2 linked regions of the Oryctolagus cuniculus genome follow. The protein of the gene in region 2 purifies or fractionates together with the protein of the main gene of each other region. This does not show direct contact. Links are inferred from orthologs where the notes say so. Each region holds a gene or a part of one and is shown on either strand. Other genes may lie near its edges. The genes, in order: TLE2 and CCT4.

Region 1 (4,549 bases), on a different chromosome or scaffold from region 2:
ACGGGTCAGCTCCAGGCTTCGGGACTCAACCCCGACCGCTGCAGACATCCTAGGTGGACCTCAGAACCCTGGGTCACCCGCAAGCTAAGGGAGAAACTCAGGGCCGGCGTGTGGCGCAGCGGGTAAAGCCGCCGCCTGCAGTGCCCACATCCCCTATGGGCGCCGGTTCGAGTCCCGGCTGCTCCACTTCCAATCCAGCTCCCTGCTGTGGCCTGGAAAAGCAGTGGACGATGGCCCAAGTCCCTGGGCCCCTGCACCTGCGTGGGGGACCCGGATGGAGCCCCTGGCTCCTGGCTGTGGATCAGCCCAGCTCCGGACATGGTGGCCATTTGGGGAGTGACCCAGCAGATGGAAGACCTCCCCCCGCCTCACAACCCTACCTTTCAAATAAATAAATCAGTCTTACAAACAAACAAAAACCTCAGAACCTCCCGGCATGAGGGTCAATCTCAGAACCTCGCGGGCTATCTCAGAATCGCGACACCAAATCCCTCAGCTCGGGAAGTCAGCTCAGCACCCAGCTCACGCGGAAGTCTAGAGCCCTGGGTCAATCCCAGAACCCGAGGGCTATCTCAGAACCCTGAGGTCTACCGTGGCAATACCTGGTCAGCCTGAACCACGACACGGAGCGCACGGCCCGCAGAGCCACCTCGCAGCCCCGGCCCGCGCCTCCCGGCTCGACCTCAGAACCTCGGAAGTGCACCAGCGTCTCGGGGGCCATCTCAGACCCAGCAGGCCCGAGACTGTGCACGCGGCCCCCGGCCCGGCCGTCCTCAACCACGGGGACGCCGGGACCCTGCCCTCCGCCCGCCCGGCTCAGAAGCCGAGAGAGGCTGGCACGGCCCCCAGCCCCGCTCCCAGCCCCCCCTCACCTGTTTGTGCATCTCGATGTTGAGGCCGTAGGACATCTCATAGTACTGCGGGGAGAGGGCAGCTCAGGGACCCGGGTCTACAGGAGCCCCCGGCCGGGGAGAGAGCAGCTCAGGGACCCGGGTCTACAGGAGCCCCCGGCCGGGGAGAGGGCAGCTCACGGACCCGGGTCTACAGGAGCCCCCGGCCGGGGAGAGGGCAGCTCAGGGACCCGGGTCTACAGGGGCCCCCGGCCGGGGAGAGAGCAGCTCAGGGACCCCGGGTCTACAGGAGCCCCCGGCCGGGGAGACGGCAGCTCAGGGACCCCGGGTCTACAGGAGCCCCCGGCCGGGGAGAGAGCAGCTCAGGGACCCGGGTCTACAGGAGCCCCCCGGCCGGGGAGAGAGCAGCTCACAGACCCGGGTCTACAGGAGCCCCCGGCCGGGGAGAGGGCAGCTCAGGGACCCGGGTCTACAGGGGCCCCCGGCCGGGGAGAGGGCAGCTCAGGGACCCCGGGTCTACAGGAGCCCCGGCCGGGGAGAGGGCAGCTCAGGGACCCCGGGTCTACAGGAGCCCCCGGCCGGGGAGAGAGCAGCTCAGGGACCCGGGTCTACAGGAGCCCCGGCCGGGGAGAGGGCAGCTCAGGGACCCCGGGTCTACAGGAGCCCCCGGCCGGGGAGAGAGCAGCTCAGGGACCCGGGTCTACAGGAGCCCGAGGCTGGGGGAGGGGCACAGCAGGACAGGGCCCCCAGCAGAGACCCCCCTGAGTGGGGGAGGGGGCAGCCTGGGGTCAGTGCCCCCTGGTCTCCCTGGAGTGACCCTGAGAGACAGCCCAGGGCACAGGTGGGGGCGAGAGGAGGCCGAGAGCCGGGGGGGCCCTCACCATGACGAGGAGCTGGGGGGGGACCCTCACCATGATGAGGAGTGGGGGGGACCCTCACCATGACGAGGAGCGGGGGGGACCCTCACCATGACGAGGAGGGGGGGGACCCTCACCATGATGAGGAGCTGGGAGGGCCCTCACCATGATGAGGAGCTGGGGGGTCCATCACCATGACGAGGAGCTGGGGGGACCCTCACCATGACGAGGAGCTGGGGGGGCCTCACCATGACGAGGAGGGGGGGGACCCTCACCATGATGAGGAGCTGGGAGGGCCCTCACCATGACGAGGAGCAGGGGGAGACCCTCACCATGACGAGGAGGGGGGGCCCTCACCATGACGAGGAGGGGGGGCCCTCACCATGACGAGGAGCGGGGGGGGGCCTCACCATGATGAGGAGCGGGGGGGGGCCCTCACCATGACGAGGAGCGGGGGGGGGCTCACCATGACATAATGCCGCTGCATCTCCGTCTTCTCGCTGGCCAGCTTCTCGCACTCCAGCTTGAGACTGCGAGGACACGGGGTGCGGGGTCCCCCAGCACCCCGCGGGGGGGCCAGTTTCCAAAGTGCGGCCTGGGTCTCCCCTCCTCCTCGCCACCCCTCCCTGACCTCAGAGCCCCCCCACACCGCACCTCACCTGCCTCCCCAGCCCGGCCCCGCCCCTCCAGGTGCACCCCGCGCCCCCTGCCCGCCCCTCCCCCGCACCTGTGGTACTGTGCCTGCAGGAACTGGAATTCCTCTTTGATGCGGTCACAGATCTCCAGGATGGAGAACTTGAAGGGCTGGCCCGACTGGAGCGGGGTCTGGGGGAGGGGTTAGGGCAGGGGGGACGTCAGGGTCCCGGGCGCCGGGGACTCCCCCGCCGCCGCCCGAGGCCCCCCACTCACCGGGTGCCTGCCCTGGGGGTACATCCTGCAGCGCTGAGACGCACCCCCCGCGCCGGACAATATGGGGAGGGGGCGCGGGGCGACCGCGGCGGGTTGGGGGGGGGGGTCCGGGGAAAAAGCGGGAGGGCGACAGAGCGCGCGGGGCAGCGCCCGGGAGTCCCTGGCGGGCGCCCCCGCGAGCGGCCCGGGTGGCGGGGACGAGCGGCGGCGCGGGGCGCGGAAGGTCGGGGCGCGGGCGCAGCCGGGTTTCGGCGGCGGTGGCGGCGCGGGCGGCGCGGGCCCCGCGCGGAGCCGCCTCCCTCCGGCGGGGCTCGGCCGGGAGCCGCGGGCAGAGCCGCTTAAGGTGGCGCCGCCGCCCCCGCCCCGCCCGCGCGGCGCGGCGCCCCCGCCCCCGCCAGCCCCGCAACAACTTTGCCCTCCCACCCGCAACCCCGGGACCCCTCTCTGCTCCCTGCCCGGTGGGGACGCTGGCGCCCCGCACCCACCCACCTACCCGCCCGCCCACCCGCCGCCAAGGCCGGGAGCGGAAGAGCCGAGAAAACAGACGCCCAGGCCCGGAGCGGGAGCAGCCGCGAGGGCAGGGGGCGTCCGGGGTGGGCGGCCCTGGCCTCAGGTGTCAGGGCCTTGGTGGGGGGAGGGGGACACCTGCCAGGCCAGGGGCGCTCACGCGGGGCTGGGCTGGGACCAGAGCCAGTTGCTGGCCCCCCACGGCCTCACTGTTCCCCCCTCCTCACCCGCTGTCTTTAAGTCAATCCTTAAGTCAATCAACAAACACGCAGGGAGCCCACCTGCAGCTCCAGGAACTGGGGCACAGCCCACAAGGCTGCCCTGGGCCGTGTACTGGGCCGGTGAGGGCGCCGGGGCCCAGGCCCTCACCTGCAGGCGGCCTCTTTCTCTGGGGCCGGCCGTGCTCAGCCCTCAGCCGCTGCCTGCTCCCCCCACCCCGCCTGCTGGGGCCCCTGCACCAGCGAGGGCCACCTCGGGGAGTCCCAGGCTCCTGCCCAGGCCACTGTGGCCATCTGGGGAGTGACCCGGCACAGGGAAGGTCTGGGGCTCCGTAGGTCTCCTTTCACAGAACTTTTTTTTTTTTTAAGATTTAATTTATTTGAGAGGTAGAGTTACAGACAGAGAGAGGCAGAGTTGGAGAGAGGAGAGGTCTTCCATCCGCTGGGTCACTCCCCACTTGGCCGCAACGGCCGGAGCTGAGCTGATCCAGAGCCAGGAGCCAGGAGCTCCATCCGGGTCTCCCACGCGGGTGCAGGGGCCCAAGCACTGGGGCCATCTTCTACTGCTTTCCCGGGCCACAGCAGGGAGCTGGATGGGAAGTGGAGCAGCCGGGACTCGAACCCGCTCCCACATGGCACTGCAGGCCGGGGCTTTACCCGCTGGACCACAGCGCCGGCCCCTAAGGCATCTTTCTTAAGCCATGGCCAGATATCCTCTCGTAGCTGTCCCAGGTCCCGTCCAGGCGCCAGGGAGACCGGACGGACGAGGGACAGGACTCCTGGCCGCCCCGCTCTGGGGCAGTCCTGGGACAGAGCAGGCGGGAGTGCCCGTGGCCGCGTGGCTGCGTGGCCGCTACACAATCGTGTGGGCAAAGGGAGAGCTCGGGGAGGCGGGGTTGGCTGGGAGGGGGCTGACACGGGCAGGGAGAGGTGGGGAGGCCGCGGGAGTGCGGGGCAGAGGCTCCCTGCCCGGCGGGTGCGCCTGGGCTCCCTGCTGCCCCCGGGGACGCCCACAGCCCACAGCCCTGCCCTCCGTTCCCGCTCACACGCGCCTGCAGCGCCCGCATCCCACGTGGGCGCAGGTTCGAGTCCCGGCTGCTCCTCTTCTGATCCAGTTCCCTGCTGTGGCCTGGGAGAGCAGTGGACGATGGCCCACGTCCTTGGGCCCCTGCACCTGCCGGGGAGACCCGGATGGAGCTCCTGGCTT
Region 2 (3,798 bases):
TCACCAGTTTGTTAGAACCACGAACAACAATTGTAACTGTTTTCCCAGGGCTTGCACAGCCTGTAATCTTTAGTAAACAAACTAAATTAGGCATCTGAAGTGAAAATTAAAAAAAAAAAAAAAAAAAAAAGGCCCTCACCAAATAAAAGCTTCATTATGATACTGTTACCTTGAGCAGTTTGCCAGAGCCGTTTAAATTGACCTCCTCTGCTAACTCAGCAGAACCCAGCATATCAGCAGTGAACTGGTCAATATGAGCAACTGGCTTGGTTCCAATTGTCTGGAAAAACAGTACAATCCAAAAATTAAGACATGTATTTTAATACTGGGAATTTTATATACATAGAGAGAGGTGTTAACATTTTACCTTACAAATGAATTCAATGTCTTCTCTCTCAATATCCTTAATCACCATAATCTTCATTTTGTTCAGGAAATGTAATGCAAGATCACTAAGAGCATCTCTAAAATACAAATCAGTGATTAAGCTAATGCTAGGTAAAACAAAAACAAAATCCCCCATTTTGCTGTTCAACTTCTTTTAATTATTTTACTGTTAAAATGGTCAATATTATTTCTGAAGAAAAATGCTCTAAATATCAGTTATAAGCTCAAAAGTCTTAAAACAATTTCCAATTATACTGGAAATTTCACTGAAATTCTAACACTAAAATATATTCCCCTTTTGCAGGCCTTATGGTGCAGCAAGCTTTGGGTCCTTGCACCCCATATCTGAGTGCCTAGTGTTGAGTCCTAGCTTATCCACATTTCCAATCCAGCTTCCTGCTAATGCATCTGCAAAGTTGTAGGTGGTGGCCCAAACACTTGGGTTTCTGCCACTCATGTGGGAGATCTGGATGGAGGGCCAGGCTCCTGGCTTCAAGTAGGCCCCACCATGGCCATTGTGGCTGTTTGGGGTGTGAACAGGCTGATGGAACAGATCTCCTTCTATTTCTTCCTCTGTAACTCTTTCATATGAATGAATCTTTCTTAATTTTTTTTTTTTTTTTTTTTTTTTTTTGACAGGCAGAGTGGACAGTGAGAGAGAGAGACAGAGAGAGAAAGGTCTTCCTTTGCCGTTGGATCACCCTCCAATGGCCGCCGCTGCAGCCGGCGCACCGTGCTGATCCGATGGCAGGAGCCAGGATCCAGGTGCTTTTCCTGGTCTCCCATGGGGTGCAGGGCCCAAGCTCCTGGGCCATCCTCCACTGCACTCCCTGGCCATAGCAGAGAGCTGGCCTGGAAGAGGGGCAACCGGGACAGAATCCGGCGCCCTAACCGGGACTAGAACCCGGTGTGCCGGCGCCGCAAGGTGGAGGATTAGCCTATTGAGCCACGGCGCCGGCCCTTAATTTTATTTTTAAAAAGTAGTATGACTATAGCCTGGACTCCATAAATTTATACCTTTTGGAAAGATGAGCAATTTACTCAGTTTACATTTGCTTTAACATTAATTATTTATTAAAAACAAGTCTTCCAAGCCTTCACATGATCTATTAAAGATGAGCACCCACAGTCTTTCTGGCCTATTCATCAATAAATGAGAATATGCATACCTATTAGGAAAAAACAGATTAAGTGAAACTGGATAGTTCATTTTTTCTATTTTTTCAGAGTAGAAAGGTTTTTATTTATCCATTTTTTTCAAAAGGCAGACTGACAGAATTTTCCATCTATTGGCTCATTCCCCAAATGGCCGCCAACAGCCAGAAACTCCATTCAGTCTCCCACATGGATGGCAGGGTCCCAATTACATCAGCTGCTACCTTTCCAGGAACATTAGCGAGAAGCTGGATGGGAGTGGAACAGCTGGGACTTGAGCTGACCCTTCATTGTGGGATGTGCCACAACACCAACTTCAATTCTTTAGTATCTGGACTATGCAAAGCACTCTCCTCAAAGGAACTTCAAATTTCAAGGCCAGTAATTGTACAGATACCTAAATAAAGGTTTCTTTTAGATTTATTCATTTGTTTGACACCCCAAATGCAGATTCATTCTAGATTTTTAGTGGTTTACCCATAAAAAATTGCTAGCAGCGATCCAAAATCAATAATTAAGGCAGGGCTGGCATTGTGGTGCAGCAGGTTAAGTCGCTACCCATGAGTGCCAGTTAAGTTCTGGCTGTTCCACTGCCCATTCAATTGCCTGCTAATGTACCCGAGAAAGCAATGGAGAATGGCCTGAGTACTTGACCTCTCCCACCCACATAGGAGAACAAGATGAAGACCCAAGCTTTGGCCTGGCCCAACCCTGATCATTACAGATAGAAGATTTCTGTCTCTCCTTCTAACTTTGCTTTTCAAGTAACATTTTTTTTTTTTTTTGAAGATTTCTTTATTTCAGGTTAAGAGTTACACAGGGGCGGGGGGCACATCTTCCATCTGCTGGCTTACTCCCCAGATGACTGTGACAACATGGGCTAGGCCAAGCCAAAGCCAGGAGCCCTAGTACTTGGGCCATCTTCCTCTGCTTTTCCCAAACTGTTCCCTGGAGAAGTGGAGCAGCCAAGACTCAAACCAGCACAATATGTGATGCTGGTGTTGCAGGTGGCCCGTAAGTAATCTAAAAAAAAAAAACAAAAAACGCTATTGGGGCCGGCGCTGTGGTGTAGCCAGTAAAGCTGTCCCCTGCAGTGCCAGCATCCCATAAGGGCGCCGGTTCGAGTCCCAGCTGCTCCACTTCCAATCCAGCTCTCTGCTATGGCCTGGGAAAGCAGTAGAAGATGGCCCAAGTCCCTGGGGCCTTGCACCCGTGTGGGAGACCTGGAAGAAGCTCCTGGCTCTGGATCGGCCCAGCTCTGGCCGTTGTGGCCAACTGGAGAGTGAACCAGCAGATGGAAGACTTCTCTCTGCCTCTTCTTCTCTTTGACTTTCACATAAATAAATAAATCTTTCAAAATAAATGCTATTAAAGAATGAACAAAGCAAACAGCCTCCTACCTTAGGATGGACTTCTGTATGAGAAGGACATTACAGCCTGTTTTCTTAATTTGCTTCACTAAGTTTAAAATATAGGCTCGCTCTTCTCGTAGCACTCGGTCCATCTGGGCATAGTCAGAAACGACTATTTGATTATCCATCTGTTTACAAAAGAATCAATGATTTGCATTGGTAAAGAAATTTTAAGTGAAGTTAAGACTCTCACGCTGTTCCAACTAAATTCACCTAAATCATAGTCAAAAATAGATCGGCAAAGAAAAAGGCCTGGAGATATGTATTCCAAACTCGAGTGTTTTCAACTGTTGCCTTATTTATACTTTTCATATTAAAAAAAGTAAAATAAATATTCTATTTCTTGAATGTCATTTTTTCCACATCAAGAAAATTGTATTATAGAAATTTTAGTTCAATCCTTTTAATTTTATTGCTTGTAATAAAAATACTACACTGAGAAAATAGCAGAAATCTTATCTATATCAACACGTAAAACAGGAGAGCAAACTTACATAAGGTGACAACCCTCCCCCCCTTCAGAGAATGGCATTCATGACTAAAAGGGAAATACCTTAAGTAAAAAGCAATTTCTTCAGAGTACAGGTATTGAACTAAAGTTCCATTTGTACAAATGTAGAACAAGAGATACCCAAGTTAGTGGACTGGTGAAAGTTTCCATTCTCAGAAAGGTAGAAACAATCTGCAAATTCCACATATAACTTACAATACATTTTTATATCCCTGTTATTTGTCTTCAAGTCAGAATTCAATTTCAGTGAATATTCAGTTGAGGCGATATATTTGTTACATGTGTCATCAACAATTTCTATGTCTCTATTTTATTAATTCTTTTGAAATCTTT

The links.
Region 1: the proteins of CCT4 (region 2) and TLE2 purify together in Homo sapiens (affinity purification with mass spectrometry; 3 studies listed by BioGRID and IntAct, with this or other methods). This does not show direct contact. The link is inferred for Oryctolagus cuniculus from reciprocal best matches to the Homo sapiens genes CCT4 and TLE2.

The regions. Positions count from the first base shown.
Region 1 is NC_091447.1:59,642,694-59,647,242, reverse strand, and holds the start of TLE2 (transducin-like enhancer protein 2), read right to left. Parts: upstream 2,901-4,549; 5' UTR 2,642-2,900; coding exon 2,618-2,641; intron 2,534-2,617; coding exon 2,436-2,533; intron 2,239-2,435; coding exon 2,175-2,238; intron 918-2,174; coding exon 873-917; intron 1-872.
Region 2 is NC_091433.1:140,930,476-140,934,273, reverse strand, and holds part of CCT4 (T-complex protein 1 subunit delta), read right to left. Parts: intron 3,083-3,798; coding exon 2,943-3,082; intron 465-2,942; coding exon 368-464; intron 281-367; coding exon 170-280; intron 68-169; coding exon 1-67. UniProt on the Homo sapiens protein: Component of the chaperonin-containing T-complex (TRiC), a molecular chaperone complex that assists the folding of actin, tubulin and other proteins upon ATP hydrolysis.